Linked DNA regions of Arabidopsis thaliana. The protein of the gene in region 2 interacts with the protein of the main gene of each other region in a pairwise test. Each region holds a gene or a part of one and is shown on either strand. Other genes may lie near its edges.

Region 1 (7,153 bases), on a different chromosome or scaffold from region 2:
ATTTGACTTTGTCACTTGCTATGGTTTTGGTACTGGTTTATAATTATGACAACGTTGCCTTTGATGAGACAGACTTCCCCATTTTTGTCTGATTAATTCATCCAATAATGCTTAATCTTCATTCATACTACTGCGATCAGCAAATTTTCAATGTCTTTTCTAACATAGTGAATGAGAATACAAGAACATGGTGCTTGTTTTGTTTTTTTTCTCCTACCAAAACAACAAACAATCTAGTATATATAAATGTCACTAACTTGAGCCTAATAAATAAAGGGACAATTTATATGGTTCGACCAAACACTCGAAGTTTTTTGAAAACAATTTTGGTCAATTTCTACATTCGTTTTTTTTTTTGCATTACGTTCAATCATTTTTAAATGGCTTAGCGAATCAAGATGCTTGCATTTCGCATTAGGCAATAAAATACCAAATAAAGTGCTCTTATCTCCACTTCCTATGGAATCGGCCTTTTGAACTATTCAATGGTTTGTTTTGAATACTAATTGCTTTGTAAAAATAGAATATCACCACTTCTCATTATTGCCACATGTTTCTGATTTCAGTTTTCTATTTAAAGACCTAGAAACATATATACAACATTAGATACTAAGTTATCAGAAAATGAAGAACATTTCATTGATGTTCATCGCCTTGGTTGTACTCTTGACATCATTCCCCACTCCAACGCTCTCTTATTGCAAAGAGTCACTTCATTTATGCATGCAACATTTGAAGTTGAACGATAGACCCACGTGGTTGAAGTGTTGTGATAGACTAATAATACCAGGACCATGTATGTGTAAGTATATTAAAGATCCTGTACAATGGAAAGAAGCTTATCGTCTTATGGCTTCTTGTGGAAAGACTGTTCCTCTAAATCAAAGTCTCAAGTCCTATTTCAAGTGTGGCTAAAAATAGTCAACCAACAAAAGCAATAAGCGGTCGTCAAGCCGAACCGGAGATACTTAATAAGATTAGTTAATCAAGTCTTTCCTTGTCTTTTTTTAATCGTATAAGTTGTTGCTCTAATTGGCCTTCATTATATTTATGAACCATCTCTCCCACATTCCACGTTTTTCTTGCTTTTTGGAATTACTATTTCACTCTTTCAAATTCGATACTTTGTACTTGCTTTTATTTAAAGAAATAAAAAAGTAGTCTACTTCTATTTAAAGAAACAAAAAAAAAGTAGTCTAAACTAGAGAAAACGGCATGTACGCGTTAATTATGCATACATCCTTGGCCCTTGGGACTATTCTTGTGATTTCACTTCATAATTAACTGTCACACAAACATGGCCAAGATGGTATCAAGAAGGGAAAAGATGGTATCTACTATCTAGAACTCTCAGGCGTCCATTCTCGTGTTTGTGAGTTTATTAAAGGGTGTGGTCCCCGACTCTTTCAAATGTATTTATAACAAGTTTAATTAGTTCACATGTCGCGATTGTTATGACGACACAAGAAATTATCGTTTTCCCTTTATAACGTTGTCGTTACGAACTTCCTTAAATCCCCCAAAAAAAGTTTTGTTTCCTAATTATCCTATAATTAGTTGATGATGTTAGGGTTTGAAAACTTAATATAGCGAAGAAAAACGGTTTACTATACTTAATTATGAGCGTATTTTCTTTACGTTTGCCACTTTCTTTCTTTGCATGGACATTCACTAAGAGCGTGTGTTTGTGTTTCAGGTGATTCTTCGCTGTGTTAGACGTGGACTACTTCTACCGGTGTTCAACAATCTGGTAAGCTTGTCTTTTGGGAGTACGAACAAAAGAGGTTGGAAACTGCTGCCACTTCTGATTGAGCAGTCTCCAAAGCTTGAAACTCTAATCATCCAGGTACGTATCATTAGCTAATATATCTAAAGAGAGTCAGAGATTAGGGACTTAGTGGTTGAGCCTTTACATCCATCTTCTTGATGCTTTTCCAGGGGCTGGATAGAGTTACACAGGCGATGTGACCATGCCTCCGTTCCAAGTGAAGATGCTGCATGTTCATGGTTATGGAGGAAATGCGGAAGAGGTGGAACGCTTACATAAATTTATTGGGGAGTCGGAATGCGGTGAAGTGGTGCTAGGCTGCGGAAGCTGTGGTGGATAATACCATGTATTGCAAACCAAAAGGGTTCTATAGTCTATAGTTGAGGCTTCCTGGATTTTCGGTTTCATCCAAATGCAAGATCTCATGTAGTTTACCAAATTATTCTGTGTAACAATTCATGTACATGTCGCATTGCTCTTGCAGTTGCAAGGGCCTCTTTAATTTCAGGGAGCTATTTTTCTGTATCTTTTGGCAGTCTCTCCCTTAGATGATACACGAGTAACCTTACCTACCTCGTCAAACTCCACCTGGCATAAGATTAACATTTCTGTATTTGATGACTACATCGTCCCTACAATGCAATTTCACACTTCTTTCCACTCTTGCAGACTTTACACAATATGTGGTCCATTAGCTTGGATTTTCAGTTTCATCCAAGTGCAACATCTTAGACGATGAAAGGTGGTGATTAACAAGCTGATTTGATTCTTCACTTTCTGATTTGTGATCTTAAATAGAGTTTTAGGATTCTTCCAATCTGTAGTATATATAGCTTACTAGTTTTTACCAGCAGAAAGATCTTCAGGAGAATGCCGATTTAATTAGAGCGTAAAAAGTAAAAACCCTTCACTTTATGTGCACTAACCTATGGCTATGCATCATCCGAACGAAACCAATGTCAGAACAGAAGAAGAAGAAGAATAAACAAAACTTTCTTTAAGGCAATTGAAGCTCTTTTGTTTTCGACAAGAAAAATCTTTATTAAAGAGAGAAAATGGGGGAAGAGAAGATCTATCTCCTAAATCAAAGTGCTGAAAAACCAGAGACCAAAAGACTATACTTGGTGGTTCTGTTGATGATCTCTCTGTTCCAGATTCCTCACATTGTCTACTATGTGTTGGATTCTCTTAGAAAGGCTTTCGTTGTGCTGTTCGATCTGTTCAAATAGCATCTCCAGATGTCTTTTGTAAGTAGCCGCTCTCTTTTTCTCTGCTGCTAGCTGCTGCATCAGTTCCTGAATTTTGTCGTGTTCGTTCTGCAAATGAGGAGAGCAAAGTTTTAGAATTTAAGTCTTTTCTAGTAACAACTGATATATAAGCAAAATCAAAACACCAGCACATGAATATGAATATGCTATATAGCAACTAGTCACGAACCAGTATCACATCAGCATATATATATATATTAACCAGCTAACCAAGAAACGCCAATTTGGATTTTCAAATGCAATGGCTGAATATAAAGAAATATTGACCAACGAAAGAGAGTAACAACTAACCGGATATTGATCATAAATGCAACCCCTTCGAACTCTGCCAGGCATCAAAGAGTGATTGTGCTCCTTGACAAACTTTGTGATAACCCATTTACCAGAGTTCTCTTTTCTAATCAAGATCATTGCTTTACATCCAACCCTTGTTTCCGCTCTTTGTCTAATAACCTTATCCCGCTTGCTAGGCAACCTGTAACCTTCCTTGTTACAAACAAGTTGCCTGCCTATGGGAGATCCATCATGCCTTGACCGTGACAGTTTACTAACACGGATGACGAACCCTACTTTAGTAGCATACGCATTATAAAAACCATGAGCCGCTGCTTCAGATTCGAACTCCTGGCCAACGTAAGGCTCATCTCCTTGAGCCTCTGTCATATCTGCAACAGCCAGAGGAATAGAATCAAGATCCACCTTCTCATCTTGCTCACCAGAATTTTCACCGAGTTCATTATGGTTGTCATCATCTTGCTCAATCATTGCTTGACCAGAGCTTTCACCCATTTCATTATGATTCTCAACCGTGGTAACCTCAAGCTCAACAGGAATCCCCATCATCATCCCAGCAGCTACTCCATTATCAATCCTGAAATCCACTGCAACTCAAAAAAAGGGAAAACAGCAATTCCACTAATCAAATATCTAGCAAGAAGAGCTACAAGTGTTCATCATCTTACTAATACAAAGTTGTCATCTTTTCTATTCCACTGTCTAATTCAAGATATGAGAACAAAGCTCAAGTACAAGTGCTCTCAAAATCATCCAGCCTCCACCAACAATACAAAACAAACTTAAAATGGAACCATTCTTTGGGATTCACCGTCCCATAGATTCAAGAGTCATCAACAAATCGGGGTTTCCAAAAGTATCGAGATGTCCAACTTCTCAGTCTCATTCTTTCGCAGGGACTAGTCTAAGTGGCTTAATCGATCAATCCAAAATCGAAAATTAAAAACCCGAAATAATGGTGTAAGGAATAAAACAATCTTACTGGTCAAAAGATATTTTCCGGCAGATGTAGGTCGGAGACGACGATCGAATTAGGTTTTCGATTTGGGGGAGAGACAGAGAAGGTGCCGGTTCAGGGTATGGATTGCAGAGGACGCAGTACCCTATGACGTGGCGATAGATGATTGGGTCAAAATCGGAAAGAAGTCAACTCACCGTTCATCTAAGCTTTGGGTTTATCGACTTATGGTTCCTCCGGTGCGCTTCGCCTCGTATGATTATTCCTCATGTTCTTTTTTTTTCTTTCATTACATGTTTATTTTATTTTATTTTTTACAGCGTAATTCTCGCCGACCGACGCACCCGTTAGACCGGTGTGTCCATGACTTTTAATAAATGTTAAAATTGACCCCTTTATTATCCTTCATTTACATAATCATCCTTGTACTAACAAAATTTCTCTAATTTCTAGCATTCATTTTGTTCGTGTCAACCAGGCCAATTCAGCCGGTTTAATTAACTTTCTTTAAAATGCTATTGATAACCAGCTAATGATGGTTTAGTATACGATTTGACTACCAAACTACATTAGCTAAGTTTTTTTAATCATAGAAATTTTGAATAGCAAAAAACTTATTACATAGTAATATATTCAGTTACTTATATTTCATGATTTAGCTTATATCACTGTTATCATCGAAACCTATCCAGATAGTTTTAGGCATGACCACGGTTACGGTTATTACGGTTACGGTTTATTAACCACCGTATATGATTATAACTTTTTTTAACCTTAACATTAACCGTTATATATACGGTTAAAACGGTTACGGTTAAATACGGTTATGGTTAGATACGGTTACGGTTATTTGATAATTATGATATAATTAATATATGAGACAAAATATTATATTAATCTTTATAATAAAATAAATAAATAAATAGTGATATATCAAATAATAATTATTTTACGTGATTATGTGTTTCAAATATTTATAGCGAATCAGCTATCTATTTTTTTTAAATAAACCAATGAATATACAAATTAATGGTTATAATTATAATGATTTAATTAATTATATTTTTCAAACAAAAACAATAATAAAGAAAAGATGTTATGAGCACTAAGAAACAGTTTTTAGAGTATAAATAATAATAATATGAACTACTTATGATTTGATTTATGGTAAAAAGAGTAGTGGAGTAACTTCGATCGTATTAGTGGGCATATTAAACGATTTAAGTTACTATTTTAGTAAAATAATTATTTATTTAGAATTATACACAGTTACAACTATATTTTTAAGGTTTTAATAATACGGTTAACCGCGCGGTTAAACGTACGGTTAACCAACGGTTTTGATACGGTTACGGTTATTATATTTTTTTAACCGTAATGAATCTATTTTCACGGTTAACAGTTACGGTTATTAACCGTTTTATACGGTTACGGTTGGGTTACGGTTAATAAACGGTCCGATTACGGTCCGAAATACAGTTACAGTTAGATTTTGGTCATGCCTAGATAATTCGCAACTCTAGATTTTTATAGACATTATAAATCATCCACATATATATGAATCAGTAATCCAAAAAAAAAGATCTGTAACATATGGTTTTCTTTCGTTGCGTTTTAAAATATCCATTTTATTTAGCATTTATTAAAAATTCTCTTCACTTTTTTTTTTTTTTTTGGAAATCAATAAATCGCTTTAATTACGTGGAATAAAACGTCTAAGAAGAAGGATAGTCGTTAGTTAGTAGTGATAACTGATGCATAAAATATAACTTGGGAAATAGGAAACCAAATAGTGTTGGTACTTGGTAGATAGTCTCTGATAAATAAAAAGATCATACATGTCAAAGCTAGCCCCGTTTATAAAATTTGTAACAGATTTGCATTTCTCGATTTAGTAGATTTACATGAGATAATATCTTGTGTAATCGGAAATAAAAGTTATCCTAACAAATGAGATAATCGAAATTAGAGGAGGATATTAACATATTTATCCAACAACGGATATAAGCCCCTCGTAATTAACCTTGCGAAATTAAATTATAACAAATCATTCATTAATACATTTCGATTTTGGTAGATTTGCCTAAAAAATTATCCATGAATGGTATTTTATTGAAAAAGAAAGTTATCCAAAACAAACAAAATATTCGGAGTCAAAAGAGGAGGATTAATAGTATCTTTTACTCCCCTTAATAGTACTATCTTAACAACGGATAAGCCCCTAATAAATTAACCTTGTGAAATACGTCGTCTAGGTCCCATTGAAGAAGCATAAAATCTGGTCAAAAACATTAATCACTATTTACTCTAAATCTCACCAAATCATAACATATATGTAAACAACCAATAGAATATTACGATTAAAAAATAAGTTACCAAACACAGTTTAGATATCTTATCTGATCAATCTTTAAATGGATAAATTTGAATTTGTATTAATTAAAAGTCTTGTGGATTTGACTAAACCACTCACCCTAATACCTCTATATAAACCCTTGATTCTCTCTAATACCTCTCATTATATCCAAAACATAATCTCTCTCTATCTCTCTCTATTTTGCTCAATCTTAATCGTCCGATCAAAACACTCCGACTAAAAATGGCTGCATCTAACGGCGAGAAAAGCTTGATCGTGAGCTTCGGTGAAATGCTCATCGATTTCGTCCCAACCGTCTCCGGTGTATCCCTCGCCGATGCTCCTGGCTTCATCAAAGCCCCCGGTGGTGCACCTGCCAACGTTGCCATCGCCATTTCCCGTCTAGGCGGTCGTGCCGCTTTCGTTGGAAAACTCGGTGACGACGAGTTCGGTCACATGCTCGCCGGAATCTTGAAACAGAACGGTGTCTCTGCTGAAGGTATCAATTT
Region 2 (7,660 bases):
GCTCGACTTCGATATTGGTGTAGGAGTTAGTAGTGGCGGAGATGTTGATGACGACGCTATTGATATTGAGCACCATGCTCTCGACGACGATGATATGCTCGACAGCCCAATTATGCCTTGCGGTAATGGTCTTGTTGGCAATTCTGGAAATTACTTTCCCAACCAGGAGGAGGAGGCTTGTGATCTCCTGGATCTCGAGCCCTATGATGGTCTTGAATTCGAGTCCGAAGAAGCTGCCAAGGCATTCTACAACTCGTATGCCCGTCGCATTGGCTTTAGTACCCGTGTCAGTTCCTCCCGCCGCTCCCGCCGTGATGGAGCTATCATCCAGAGGCAATTTGTCTGTGCCAAAGAAGGTTTCAGAAATATGAATGAAAAGCGCACCAAGGACAGGGAGATCAAGCGTCCCAGGACCATCACTCGAGTCGGTTGCAAAGCCTCCCTCTCTGTTAAGATGCAGGATTCCGGTAAATGGCTTGTCTCTGGCTTTGTCAAAGACCACAACCATGAGCTTGTTCCTCCCGACCAAGTTCACTGTCTGCGTTCCCACAGGCAAATCTCTGGCCCTGCCAAGACTTTGATTGACACACTTCAAGCTGCAGGAATGGGTCCCCGCAGAATCATGTCCGCCCTCATCAAAGAGTATGGTGGCATCAGCAAGGTTGGTTTCACCGAAGTGGACTGTAGGAATTATATGAGGAACAACCGCCAGAAGAGCATAGAAGGAGAGATTCAGCTTCTTCTTGACTACTTGAGGCAGATGAATGCTGACAACCCAAACTTCTTTTATTCTGTTCAGGGAAGCGAAGATCAGTCTGTTGGTAATGTCTTCTGGGCTGATCCTAAAGCTATAATGGATTTCACTCACTTTGGAGACACCGTTACATTTGATACAACCTACAGGTCCAACAGGTACCGTTTGCCTTTCGCACCCTTCACTGGTGTAAATCACCATGGCCAACCCATTCTTTTCGGCTGTGCCTTTATCATCAATGAAACTGAGGCTTCATTTGTATGGCTTTTCAATACGTGGCTAGCCGCAATGTCCGCCCACCCTCCTGTCTCAATCACCACCGATCATGATGCTGTTATACGTGCAGCCATCATGCACGTTTTTCCTGGTGCCCGCCATCGCTTTTGCAAATGGCATATTTTAAAGAAATGTCAGGAGAAGCTGTCGCATGTCTTCCTCAAGCATCCTTCGTTTGAGTCAGATTTCCACAAATGTGTCAATCTGACAGAGTCGGTTGAGGATTTTGAGAGATGCTGGTTTTCACTTCTTGACAAGTATGAGCTAAGAGATCATGAGTGGCTACAAGCAATATACTCCGATCGCCGGCAGTGGGTCCCAGTATATCTCCGTGATACCTTTTTTGCCGACATGTCCTTAACTCATCGTAGTGATAGTATCAATTCATATTTTGATGGTTATATAAACGCTTCAACCAATCTAAGCCAGTTCTTTAAGCTGTATGAAAAAGCTTTGGAGAGTCGTCTCGAGAAAGAAGTTAAAGCAGATTATGACACAATGAACTCACCTCCTGTTCTGAAGACTCCATCTCCAATGGAGAAGCAGGCGTCTGAACTTTACACAAGGAAGTTGTTTATGAGATTTCAGGAAGAACTAGTTGGAACCCTGACTTTCATGGCATCCAAAGCTGACGATGATGGGGATCTTGTTACCTACCAGGTTGCGAAATATGGAGAGGCTCACAAGGCTCATTTCGTTAAGTTCAACGTTTTGGAGATGAGAGCAAATTGCAGTTGCCAGATGTTTGAGTTCTCTGGCATCATTTGCAGACATATATTGGCAGTCTTCCGGGTCACCAATCTCCTTACACTTCCACCTTACTACATCCTAAAAAGATGGACCAGAAATGCCAAAAGCAGTGTTATATTTGATGATTATAATTTGCATGCGTATGCTAATTACCTGGAGTCTCATACCGTCCGATACAACACCTTACGTCACAAAGCTTCTAATTTTGTGCAAGAAGCTGGAAAATCTCTGTATACTTGTGATGTCGCAGTTGTTGCTCTGCAAGAAGCTGCCAAGACTGTGTCCCTGGCAATGAATAAGGAAGTTAGAAGAACTATGGCGAACAGGCATTTTAAAGCGAGTTCTGTAACTGGTGGAAAACATCAGCAAGAAGTGCTGGCGCAACCTGAGCCCGAGGTGAGGATCATTTTCTTTTCGATACTTGTTTTCTTTTTGATATAATAGCAATCAAATTTGTTGCTCTAAAAAATAGTTATATACGTTTGAAGTATCGTTTGTGCGGGTTTGCCCCATACAATACAATCATTGCTTTGTCTCCTTGACGGTACCATAATGCTGATTGCTCTGTTAACGTTTGACTAATGAGCTCGTGATTCACATATGCATGTTAAGAGTATGGTCTTCATTTTGCCATTGTGAGCCTTTGTTCCGTACAATCTGCAAGGTCCTCAATTTTGCTATGTGCTTTTACTGCTGACTAATTGCATGACCGTATTTCCTCTACTTTCGCAGGACGAAATGGACAAGAAGATTAATCAGCTCAGAAACGAGCTGGAATTAGCAAACAGGAAATGCGAAGCTTACAGGACTAACCTACTTTCAGTTTTGAAAGAAATGGAAGACCAAAAGTTACAAGTGTCCATCAAAGTGCAGAACATCAAAATTAGCTTGAAGGATAATCTGTGAAACAAGCAACAAATTCCGACTGCTATTCTCATCTATAACATATTGCTCATGTACTATATCTCTTATAGGGTTTTTGAAAGAGGGACCCAATTTTCAGGATTTCCCTGTTCTTACAGTAGGTAGCCTTTGTAATAGATTGTACTCCCAATCATTTCCTTACTGAGTAAGAGCATGAAGTTGATTCCCATAAATGTTTGCATACCAAGTTACCAACCACAGTACGTGAGTTGAATTGTGATGTTATGTATCCAGCAGATTGCACTCACTCTTTCAAGCTTAGTCTAGCATTTTGTACCTTGAGGGATAGCTGAAACTTCTGTTCTTCCATATCTCTCAAAATAGACAGCAGGTTTGCTCGATAAACTTCACATCGCTGGCCTGTCCTCTCCAACTCAGCTGTCAGTTCAAGTATCGTCCTCTCTTTTTCACCCTGGCATTGAAGTAAGTACTTATTCCCAAGGAACAGAGGACATCAATGTTAAAGAATTATCAAATACCAGTATTCGCTTACCCCTGGATGATTCGTTGCATTTGCTGTTTCTCGAGCTTCCTCGGACGGGTAAGCTTCCCCATTGGGAAGCCTAGTTCCAGGTGTTCTGTTACTTGCAGCAGCAACCTTCTTGGCAGCTTCATCCAAAGCATCCATTGCAACTTTATAGATCTGAATAGATTTGGCACCTTCCTCGACATACTTGGTTGCTTCTTGGCGTAGACTGTTGAAGCAGAGATTTAAAGATTCTTGACAGCCATTTGAAAACTCAGGTTGTTCCTCAGTGCCTCTAATCTTTGCTTCTTTGGTCCATCGCCTCAGTAGATACCGAGATGGAAGAGCAAGAACATTTTTGGCACTGAACACCGCCAATATGTGTCTACATATAATCCCTGAATACTCAAACATTTGACAGCTGCAATTAGCTTTCACCTCAAGAGAGTCAAAACTGACAGTATGACCTTTGTGAACTTCTCCGAACTTAGCGACACGATAAGTAGTGTGAGTTCCTGAATCACTAATTATATTTGCAGGAATTGCAAGGGTCTCAACAAACTCCTCCTGAAACTTGATGAATGCTGCCCTTGTATAGAGGCTAGCAGCTTGCTTTTCCATGGGAGAGGGCGTCTTCATAACTGGAGTAGAGTTAGTTGCTTCGTAATCTGCTTTCAGTTCTTTCTCACGCCAACTATCAATTGCTTTCTCATACTGTTTTATGAGCATTTGCATTGTAGTTGATGCATCCACAAACCCTTGGAAGAATGAGTTCAAAATGCTGCTTCCTTCATTTGTAGACAGCTCTCCATAAAAGGTGTCTCGGATGAAAACACGGACCCACTGTTGTCTAGCATTATAAATGGACTGGAGCCAGTCGTTATCCTCCATATAATATCTCCTGACGATAGAGTCCCAAGATGCCTCAAACTCGGCAGCCGTTTCTGTCTCAGTAACGCAATTTATAAATTCGGATTCAAAGGTAGGATGAGCCTGAAAGACGTGAGCAAGTTTCTCCTCAGTTTCCTCGAAGATGAGGGGCTGGCTGAAACGAAGGCGGGTTTGACTGAAAACTCGAGAAACAGCAACCTGTATCAGGCGATCTGGTTCAACTGTAATAGAAGGAGGAGGGGGAGCAGACATTGCTTGAAGCCAAGTTTGGAAAAGCCACGCAAAGGAGGACTCAGACTCGTTGAGTATGAGAGCACAACCAAAAAGAACAGGCTGCCCATGATGGTTGAACCCGGTGAAGGCAGCAAATGGCACTTGATACCTCTTACCCCTCCTATAGGTGGTGTCAAAGACTAGGGTATCACCAAAGTAGGTGTAATTCAACCTGCAAGTTGGATCCGCCCAGAAAACATTCCCACAATCGTCCTCAATTGCATATAAGAAACCAGGATTCTCGAGCTGCCTACGTTTCAGATAGTTCAATACATGCTCGACCCTGCTCATGCTTACTTCTTCCACTAATTCTGCCACTATCCCAAATGGAAAGTTTTGGGTATCAGAAGGAACACAGTTGCAGAAGCGACTGACTTATCAATTCGGGAAAGACAAACTGCAGAGAGAATTTTAGAGATGATTACCTGCGATTATAGCCATTCGCAAGATATGGCTTTAAAACCCTAAACTTGTAACTGTAACTGAATCAATGGCTTCCGCGACCGGACGGAGTACGCTTTAAGGTTTGCTGTTGGATCCAACCGAACTCGGTGACGGGTTTGTCTATCTAAGCCTACACTCTCCTGCCGTTTTTATAACATAAAACGGCAAGCTGTTAGTTTACCATAACCAATGTTGCGAGTTGGGACTGGTAGGCAGGCCTAGTCCTTAATTTTGGGCCCTTAAAATAATAAATTAAGTCGGGCCTATTTGAGTTTTTTGGTCCGTCAACAAACAATTATTGAGTGCTTTAAACAAAGAAAACTACAAGGCTCGAAAAGGCACGTAGGCCCAACAAAGCAGAAATGCCGAAAACATGGCACACAGGCCCAAAATAGAAAAAATCAAAAAGGCACAGAAGCCCAACAAGCAACCACAAGAAACAGCGAACTTCTTCTTGATTCAACTTTGATCGGAAAAACCGAAGAACAAAAACACCAGTCCAAGGAGAGAGAATAGAATAGCTACAAAACGTGAATAACAAAAGGGACTCTACTTGAAAGAGCATTTGAAGCAAAAAAAAACTTTCAAGTTTGGCCGGTTTAAAATACGGTTGATCTCATCCAAAAGAGAGAGCAGAGGGGGTTTCATTTTTATATGACAGGTACATACTATATAGGCAGAGAACGATCAACCATCTCTTTGTCATCAAATGTGACCTTTGACTAGGGGCCTCCATATTTGTGGAATGACTAGGGGCTTTTTACCCACCCATACTTCCGACAAGCAGCTAGACTGCATTGCTGCATATTCTGTTCTGCAGTTAGGCTAAGCAGACACTTCTTTTGCTTGTCGGTTGCTGCAATAATCACAAGCCAATAATGACACTGACTTATCCAACAACATATACATCCCATTTTGATTGCAGTTGAATACCTGAAAACACAGGAACCACTCTATGGATATGCACTTGATCGGGCCATGGTGGTGGTTCTATCATAATTAGGTAATTTTCAAAAGGAAGTGTAGAATCCATGATAAACGAATGCATAGTGAATAATCGATGATATCTGGAAGAAAACACTCTATTGATATCACAATCACTCAAGGAAAAGCTCGTGCTAGAAATTGGTGCACAAGCTGAAAACAGCTTACAGAGAGAGCCTGATGAAGGAAAAAACTAGAGAGAGATATAAAAGCTAGAAGCTTGCAGTTACCTCCGAAAAGCCAAACTTCTCATGGAATTTCTTTGTGTTACAGTCCAGCATTTCTCTAAGGCTGCAGTCAATGTTGTTCTTTTTGACAAGTTTAAACCTCGATTCGACCTTCTTCTTCAATCCATGGTGAAAGAATTCAGGATAAGAAGCCACTTCATCCATGCCTCTTCCCATCACCTGGACGAGGAATCTGATCCTAGGCTGTAGTGAATTCTTAACACTCTTAATCAAGATTTGGGGATAACCAGTGACCATGGTTGCTATCTGGGAATCTCCAAACCCACACTCCTTCAAATAATCATAATTTGGTTTGAGAATCTTGTTAACGTCTCTGCACAAAAGTTGTGGGAAATTCATGACCACCGACTTAATGCCATCCTCACTCAGGCCAACGGATGATTTCAAGAATTCAGTGGTAGGCCGTAACCTTTTATCAACACTGTACCCCATAAGAAATGGGTTCTTCACCAGAACTTTGCCAATCATCCCATCTTGATCAAGGCCAAGGCTAGCAAGAAAGCTGACGATCACTGTCAGCTTGGTGTCGATGCTGTAGCTGATAAGCCTTGGGTTAAAAAGTATCATTTTGCCAAGTTGAGTCTCAGGCACACCTAACGCTTGAAAGAAAGCAAGAAGGGGACAGAGTTTCTCCTCCACGCTATGAGAGAGTATTGGAGGAAATTTGGTAATGGCGGAAGCAACTTCCCGAGGATTCCTTCCAAGACTGGAGAGGCACTCGACCATCGGGATGAGTCTCTCATCGAGGCGTAAAGTCAGGATTTTGGGGCATCGAGAGACGATGTAAGGGAGTTTTCTCTCTTGGATACCAACAATGTTACTCAGGTAGTCCCAGTTTTCTGATGCCACATCGCTTTGAGCCTTTTCCAACTGTTTGCATTTTCTCAACATCTTGTCGATACTCGGATCATCGAAACCTTTGTCCCTGAAGAACCACATGATGCTGCTCGTATTTGTCACCTCCATATAAACGCCACTACAACACACCAATTTTGCTTAACTTAGAGATGATTCGAGCTTTAACAAGGAAGTAGAGAGGAATTTACCTTGGAGGAGAGCCTTTCCGGCTATCCAATTGAACTGAAAGTGAGAAGCTTATCCACACGGAGGAGTGAGGACCTTCTTTCTTTCTTATACCCCCTGTAGAGTAAATGACTGTTATATCCCTCAATCCTTCTCGCGTGACTAAACCCTCCCCTTCTTCTCTCTCCGTCAAAATCTGCAAAACCCTAACTTTTCGAATCAGCGGCAGATAACGATGGTGCCTTCCTCCAAAGCCGTCGTTTTTGCAAGGCAGATGGCGAAGCAGATTCGTGTTACGACGCCGTCGATGTCCGCAACACGCTTTCTCTCAACGGGCGACAATGGTCAAGTAGACGAGCAGCAGAACCCTCCAGAGCCCTTACCCAACAGACCCTTGCGAGGGGAGAGATCTTCCAACTCTCACAGAGAACCACCCGCTAGACAAGCCCACAACCTTGGAAAGAGTGATACTACTCTGTCTGACGATGGCTTCCTCGAACAGTTCAAGCTTGGAGTCAATCAGGATTCACGGGAAACCCCCAAACCGGAACAATACCCGCAGGAGCCCTTACCGCCGCCTGAGGATTCCGATGAGATCTTCAAGAAGATGAAGGAAGGAGGTCTCAT

What was found. The genes of interacting proteins can lie anywhere in the genome.
Region 1: the proteins of FRS9 (region 2) and AT3G59470 interact in a two-hybrid assay, tested with the Arabidopsis thaliana proteins (one large-scale study listed by BioGRID).

The regions. Positions count from the first base shown.
Region 1 is NC_003074.8:21,976,216-21,983,368, forward strand, and holds AT3G59470 (Far-red impaired responsive (FAR1) family protein), read right to left. Parts: upstream 4,625-7,153; 5' UTR 4,314-4,624; coding exon 4,313-4,313; exon of another isoform or gene 3,918-4,312; coding exon 3,328-3,917; intron 3,085-3,327; coding exon 2,884-3,084; 3' UTR 2,595-2,883; downstream 1-2,594. Other genes in the region: AT3G59455 (Bifunctional inhibitor/lipid-transfer protein/seed storage 2S albumin superfamily protein), read left to right, coding at 625-915; AT3G59460 (F-box/LRR protein), read left to right, coding at 1,298-1,309, 1,697-1,846, 1,939-1,968; AT3G59480 (pfkB-like carbohydrate kinase family protein), read left to right, coding at 6,888-7,153.
Region 2 is NC_003075.7:17,901,728-17,909,387, reverse strand, and holds FRS9 (FAR1-related sequence 9), read right to left. Parts: upstream 4,857-7,660; 5' UTR 4,776-4,856; coding exon 4,760-4,775; intron 4,652-4,759; coding exon 3,198-4,651; intron 3,117-3,197; coding exon 2,949-3,116; 3' UTR 2,687-2,948; downstream 1-2,686. Other genes in the region: FRS5 (FAR1-related sequence 5), read left to right, coding at 1-2,176, 2,513-2,686; pde191 (Mitochondrial transcription termination factor family protein), read right to left, coding at 5,484-5,592, 5,668-5,711, 5,993-6,976; AT4G38150 (Pentatricopeptide repeat (PPR) superfamily protein), read left to right, coding at 7,269-7,660. UniProt on the Arabidopsis thaliana protein: Putative transcription activator involved in regulating light control of development. May act as a negative regulator specific to phyB signaling.